Linked DNA regions of Macaca fascicularis. The protein of the gene in region 1 interacts with the protein of each later gene in a pairwise test. Links are inferred from orthologs where the notes say so. Each region holds a gene or a part of one and is shown in the gene's direction. Other genes may lie near its edges. The genes, in order: CLK3 and OAS2.

The links.
Region 2: the proteins of CLK3 (region 1) and OAS2 interact in binary tests that used the Homo sapiens proteins (3 or more experiments, as listed by UniProt). The two-hybrid records come from large-scale screens. The link is inferred for Macaca fascicularis from reciprocal best matches to the Homo sapiens genes CLK3 and OAS2.

The regions. Positions count from the first base shown.
Region 1 is NC_088381.1:51,741,357-51,744,655, forward strand, and holds the end of CLK3 (dual specificity protein kinase CLK3), read left to right. Parts: coding exon 1-128; intron 129-424; coding exon 425-507; intron 508-1,062; coding exon 1,063-1,142; intron 1,143-1,391; coding exon 1,392-1,482; intron 1,483-1,919; coding exon of another isoform or gene 1,920-1,994; exon of another isoform or gene 1,995-2,171; coding exon 2,172-2,348; 3' UTR 2,349-2,583; downstream 2,584-3,299. UniProt on the Homo sapiens protein: Dual specificity kinase acting on both serine/threonine and tyrosine-containing substrates. Phosphorylates serine- and arginine-rich (SR) proteins of the spliceosomal complex.
Region 2 is NC_088385.1:119,925,105-119,928,923, forward strand, and holds part of OAS2 (2'-5'-oligoadenylate synthase 2), read left to right. Parts: intron 1-578; coding exon 579-757; intron 758-2,818; coding exon 2,819-3,054; intron 3,055-3,567; coding exon 3,568-3,712; intron 3,713-3,819.

The DNA.
Region 1 (3,299 bases):
CTGTGAGGAGAAGTCAGTGAAGAACACCAGCATCCGAGTGGCTGACTTTGGCAGTGCCACCTTTGACCATGAGCATCACACAACCATTGTGGCCACCCGTCACTATCGCCCACCTGAGGTGATCCTTGGTGAGTGACTGTATGGCCTGTGACCTCGTCACACTGGACTGTTGGGAGGGTATAAACAGAGGCAGTGGCATGCCTGGCAGTCTCTGCCACCCAGGGCAGGCAGAGTTTCTCAGACCAAGAGGCCAGTGTCATGAGACACAGGTGACTGACCTGGTTTTATCTGTCAGCCTTACTGAGAGGGCCTTGTAATGGGATTTGGGCAAGAGTCCTGCCAGCCAGTGTGGTGGCTGCCCTGTGACCTCCAGGCTGGAAGCATAGGGCCAGATCTCACAGCCTCTCCCCATCTTGGCTTTCAGAGCTGGGCTGGGCACAGCCCTGTGACGTCTGGAGCATTGGCTGCATTCTCTTTGAGTACTACCGGGGCTTCACACTCTTCCAGGTACAGCCACCCCACATCGCTCCCCTACCCTGAGCACTGCTACTGTGATAGGCTGCAGGCCACTGGGGTGGGAAGCCCCACCTGGATGAGAAGACAGGTGTCTTCCTCCTCCCATTAGTCATCATGTGAGATTCAGAGTCTTAAGGATGTAGATGCTAAAGGGAGTGCACAAGTCAGGGGAGCTAGAACACTCAGAGGAGTCTTATGCTAGGCCGTCGAGGATGGAGGATGGGCAGGAGGTGACCTGACCTTCTAGATAAAAGGCACAGATGAATAAAGGCATCAGGATGGGCTGGGACAGGGCATGTTCTGGGCAGGGAGCGAAGAGCTAACCAGAGGGAAATGCAGCCACAGCCCAGTCTACCTCCACCCACAAGGGCTGAGGAGCCTGAGCCTGAGCACAGGCTGGCAGGAGAAGCTGGGGCTGCCGCTTCATTGGTAGGTTTGCATCTGCGGGGGCAGTGAGGGCACTTGCCCATCTTTCTTGTTCCTTATTCTCCTTGAAGGGGCCAGAGCTAGGACTGACCCCCTTGCACTGTCCCTAATCTTCCACAGACCCACGAAAACCGAGAGCATCTGGTGATGATGGAGAAGATCCTAGGGCCCATCCCATCACACATGATCCACCGTACCAGGTAAGGACCCCAGTAGCCCCCTCAGGGTTGGTATAGGGGCCTTTCTCTTCTTGGCTGTGGGTCAGCAGGGTACTGGATGTGGTGAGTCTTTGTTGGACAGTCCATGGGTCCCAAAAACCTTCCCTGTGTGCCCCTGCAAACCTGTTGCCCTGGTTCTGCTGCTGTCTTGGGAGCTGCTCTTCCCCACCTCCCACCAGAGGCTTGTCCCCTTTCTATTCCCACACTTGACTCCACCCCCTTAATTTTCAGGAAGCAGAAATATTTCTACAAAGGGGGCCTAGTTTGGGATGAGAACAGCTCTGATGGCCGGTATGTGAAGGAGAACTGCAAACCTCTGAAGGTCAGTTTCTGGCTACCCCCAGCTCAACTCATGCCAAGGAGAGACCCCAGGCACTGGGCAGACATACAGCAGAGACAGGCCAGGCCACTAAAGGCTGCCTCCTCGATCCAGCTCTATGGGAGGCGGCACCCAAGACTGCTGGATGTTGGCAGTGGGGCTTCTTGCATACTGTCCCAGAGGGGCCCTTGGCCCTACCCCTTCCCCATAGGGTGGCTATGAATGTAATTGGGGAACACCGGAAGAGCCAGATGTCAGAAACCCTGCTGCTTCCTGTCCCTCTCTCTCCGCGAAATTTTGGGAAGGACTAGGCAGGACTGAGGTGAGGGGGAGGGAAGACCTAGACATGGCCAGGAAGCCAACTGCATTTGGTCTGTGTCAACTGCATTTGGTGCTCGGGCAAGTGAATTTCGCAGAGGTGATCTCTACCCACTTGTCAGGACTTTGCATGTGGGGGCAGAGGCATCAATCCAGCAAGACATCTAGTAGCCTGGCAAGTTCCGAGCAAACGTTAAACACAGGCATGAAAGGAAAGGAGCTGCTCATTGTCCAGGAGGGCGGAAGTAGAGTCCTCCAAGGAGGCAACACTGCCTCCTCGATCCAGTCCAGCAAGGCGTCCCAGAGGCAAGGGGACCTGCTGTGGCTTCCCACGATCCTGCCGTCACACTGAGGCACCTTGTGTCCCTGAGCAGAGTTATATGCTCCAAGACTCCCTGGAGCACGTGCAGCTGTTTGACCTGATGAGGAGGATGTTAGAATTTGACCCTGCCCAGCGCATCACACTGGCCGAGGCCCTGCTGCACCCCTTCTTTGCTGGCCTGACCCCTGAGGAGCGGTCCTTCCACACCAGCCGCAACCCAAGCAGATGACAGGCGCAGGCCACGGCATGAGGAGATGGAGGGTGGGACTGGGCCACCCAGCCCCTTGACTCCAGCCTCGACCACCAGGCCCCAGGCCAGAGCCACCCAATGAACAGTGCAATGTGAAGGAAGGCAGGAGCCTGCAGGGGAGCAGACTTGGTGCCCAGCTGCCAGAAAGCACAGATTTGACCCAAGCTATTTATATGTTGTAAAGTTATAATAAAGTGTTTCTTACTGTTTGTAACCCCTGGTACCAGTGTGTCCATCTCCAGGCTCCTTGCCTTCCCCTTACCTGACCTTATTAATAAAGTCTTTCTTAGCAGTTCAGCTTGTGGAAAGCTAAGTGTGAACTGGGCCAGGCACAGAAGAGCTAGGCAGGGGTAAGACCAGAAGTGGGGATGTCCTGAGCCCAGGCTGCTGAGCAGTCCTAGACGGCACCTCTGCCCTGCTGGCTCCTGTACCTCTCAGCCCCAGAGAATGTAACGGAATCAGCCCACTGTGACTAGCCAGGTGGGGTCTGATTTTCCGCAGCCTGTCAGTCCCATTACTGGCTGGGACTTTAGGCTGTATGTGCCCAACAATTATGGTCTGCTGAGGGCAGGAGACAAGTGGGGCGGGTTCCTAGGCTGGAACAGGCAGCACCTCATGACAGCCTACAGAGCAATTCACACACCACAGGACTCAGTCATTCAGCTTTATTTCAGTGCTGGTTTTTGGTTCCCTAAGAGCTGCACGAGTGCTAGGTTTCACCACGTGACTGGGGGCCCCTTGGGAACTAGGTACTATGGGCAGGATGCCCCTGAAAAGAACTGAAGATGGAGGAATCATACTTAATACCTCTGGGGAAGGCCCAGGCTAAGGATGAGGGCAAGGACCAGTCCCAGTGCCCCCTGGGGAGAGAAGAGGGAGAAGCTTGGGCACAAACTCCCAGTGGCCCCGCAAGGCTGTCATCCCTGGATC
Region 2 (3,819 bases), on another chromosome or scaffold:
GGCTAAATAAATGTGTTTATAAACAGTGGAGTTCAGCTAGCAAGAATGAAAACCCATTGATTAAACCAGCCTCTGTCCCCAGATCTCCACGGCCCTGCTGCCACCTTGCCTGCCTTCTCAAAGTCCCTGTACCCTGACACTCTGAAGTAAAATATTCACTAGATGGACTCAATGACAGAATATATTGCATGTAAAATATAAACTTTCCTTTCTTCCAGATGTATACTAATTATGCCAACACCAACAATTTTTTAAAGAACCCACTTGTTCCCTACTAATTTGGAGAATTCCCTTTCTCATTTATAATTCCATCTCTTATCCCTCCATTAGGTTCTGCTGATCTTGTCTTGGGTTAACACCATACCGTTTTCATTATAGTCATTTTAGATTACACTTTATTATCTAATGCGCCAAGTTGCCCTTTCCTATCATATTTTATGTAAAGGTACCAGTCCTCTGACTGATTAAACAAGGATCGTGTGCTGTTAAACTATAACTGACTTTCATTGTAGAGCAACCCTGGCTCTCTGAGACCAGGTTACATAAATACCAAAGTTCCAATTTCTCTTTCACATCAGGCTTAAATGATAATCCCAGCCCCTGGATTTATCGAGAGCTCAAAAGATCCTTGGATAAGACAAGTGCCAGTCCTGGTGAGTTTGCAGTCTGCTTCACCGAACTCCAGCAGAAGTTTTTTGACAACCGTCCCAGAAAACTAAAGGATTTGATCCTCTTGATAAAGCACTGGCATCAACAGGTAATTTTCCAACTGTCTATATATGGTTATCATTCATTTCCTTTTTATAGAGATAACTGACATCCAGTAAAGTGCAACAATCTTAGGTATACAACTCAATGCATGTTTTGCAATCTTACCAGCAACACCCAAATCAACATAGGGAACACTTCCTGCACCACAGAAGGTGCCTCAAGCCAACTGTCTCCCCAGTAATCCTCCCAAACAAACCCCTATTCTAACATCTGTCACCACCACAGATTAGTTTTGCTTGATTTTAAACAATAGAAGTGGGATCATATAGTACATACTTTATGTCTGCCTCCTTTTGCTCAACAGTACGTCTGAGAGACTCATTTATGTGGTTGCAGGATCTTGCTCTGTTACCCAGGCTGGAGTGCAGTGGTGTGATATTGGCTCACTGCAACCTCTGTCTCCTGGGCTCAAGCAATCCTCCCATCTCAGCCTCCCACGTAGCTGGAACTACAGGAGTGTACCACCACACCTGGCTAATTTTTGTGTTTTTTGTAGAGATGAGGTTTTGCCTTGTTACCCAGGCTGGTCTTGAACTCCTGGGCTCAAGCTATCTACCCACCTTGGCCTCCCAAAGTGCTGGGATTACAGACATGAGCCACAGCACCCAGCCATAGCAGCACTTTTTTTCACATTTTGCCATATTCCATTTTATGAATGTAACACACATTTATCCATTCTGCTGCTTTGGGTCATTTTCAAATTGGGGCAATTTTCAAATAGATGATTGGGTCATTTTCAAATTGGGCAATTATGAATTAGGTTACTATGGATATTTTCCTACATGTCTTTTTATGAATGTAAGCATTCCTTTCTCTTGGGCAAATAGGTAGCAGCAGAATTTCTGGGCTATCCAGTACACATATATGAATGTTGTGTACATATATGTGTGTAAATATATAAAATATATATGTGGTTTACTTGTTTTTTTGTTTAACCATAGCAAATCTTGCCAAATCATTTCCAAAATCTTACCAAATTATACTCCCATCAGCAAGATGTAAGTTTCAGGAATATTATCAAACCCAACTGGGGATCTGCCCACCCAGCACAGCAAAACCAAACACAGACTTTGGGATTACCGTGAGAGAGTGAGGCATTTATTGCAGGGAGCCACGCAGGGAGAATCGGGCAGCTCATGTTTAAGAGCCAAACTCTCCGATGGCTTACAGGTAAGTGTTTTAAAGGTGAGGGGACAGAGGTTACAGGCAAAGCCATAAATCAACACATGGAGACTGTAGATTGGTTTGACCTAAAAAGGTGGGACGTCTCCAAGCAGGAGGGAGGAGATGGATGGATGGCTCAGGTCACAGGATTCAAAGACTTTCCGATTTGTGATGGGTGAAATGGGCGAAGCTTTATCTAAAAATTTCAGATCAGCAGAAAGGAACGTTAGCTCTGGCTCGTAGGTGTGACCTCCTCCAAGAACCTCAGGAAGAAATTTAGAATAAAGAATGAGGTCAGGGTTCAATCCTCAGTTTCCCCTTATCTGAGGTCTACCTGCCAGTCGATTTGCTTGGTGGGGGCCTGAGTTTCTGAAAATCAACTCAGGGACAGGGACATACTTTAAGATGTTATCTTTAGTTTCTATAGGGAACAAAACATCTTCTGACTCTAGCTTCCTTGGCTACTGTTGTAAGTGACTATTACCTTCCTTTTTTGTTGTTTTAATTTTATTGGTTTTTTTTTTTTTTTTCACTGCTCCTGTAGACCCTGAACTACTATATTTTTGCTTATCAAGTTGCTCATTGACTTTTAAAGGCTAGTAGGGTGCCTGGAATTTCCCTCGAAAGAACTCCAGATTGTCCTTTATTTTTATGCTTGTGGGATGGGAGCAGTGGGTGGCCTGCAGCCCCCTAAGAGAGGTCCCTGCTGCATCCCAGTTGTTCCACATCTTTGTCAAGACTTGGTATTGTCAATCTGCTGAATTGTAGGTATTCTGGCAAAGGAGAATGACTTCCTGTAGACCTCTGGTTTCTTGATTTCAGATCCCTGACATGGTAAGAACTGGATCCCCAAATGAGCTGCTACCCTTTTCTTCTCCCACAGTGTGAGAAAAAAATGAAGGATTTACCCTTGCTGTCTCCGTATGCCCTGGAGTTGCTTACAGTGTATGCCTGGGAACAGGGGTGCAGAAGAGACAACTTTGACATTGCTGAAGGCGTCAGAACCATTCTGGAGCTGATCAAATGCCATGAGCAGCTGTGTGTCTATTGGATGGTCAACTACAGCTTTGAAGATGAGACCATCAGGAATATCCTGCTGCCCCAGCTCCAATCAGCGAGGTGCCGAGCTTCTCATGCCCTATCCCTGTACCTCATCATCCACATGCCAGGCATACCTCTTTGGAATGAGATCTCAGTCTTGCCCTATCAAGCCAGTGCTGGACCAGAAGAATGGCAGCCACCATGGGTGGGAAGGCAGAGGGGTCTGTCTGAAAGAGGGGAAGTCCAGTCAGTGCTTTTCAAGTTCCAAGCCGTAGTCACATTTTGTCCCCTAAACAAACACTGGAGAGACACTTCTGTTATAGAAGGCAGGAGCTAAGAGAGAAAGGGCAGCGGGGGGACAGGAAGAGGAGACCACTTTGTTATTTTATTAATAGAATGTCTCTGTAAAGCAGCAAACATAGGGCCAGAGGGGCTTGATGTTGTAGACAAAATTCCTCAGCAGCTTGGAGGAGCCGCAGGAATCCAAATTCAAGTTGCCAGATTCCCACTCCAGGCCTCTTTCCCCAAAACAGATTTTGCCTCCCACAAGCAGCTCAACTGACGTTTTTTTTAATCTAATGGAATACACAGGCCAGTAATCTTGGATCCAACCGACCCAACCAATAATGTGAGTGGAGATAAAAGATGCTGGCAATGGCTGAAAAAAGAAGCTCAAACCTGGCTGACTTCTCCCAACCTGGATAATGAGTTACCTGCACCATCTTGGAATGTTCTGGTAAGAGGGTTTTCCAAATGCAGGGTGTTTCAGGCTGCAGGAAGGTCTTCCTGACACCTAGGCTAAGCCTTATCTGAGAGTACTCTGTATTCGTTTCCTGTGCTGCT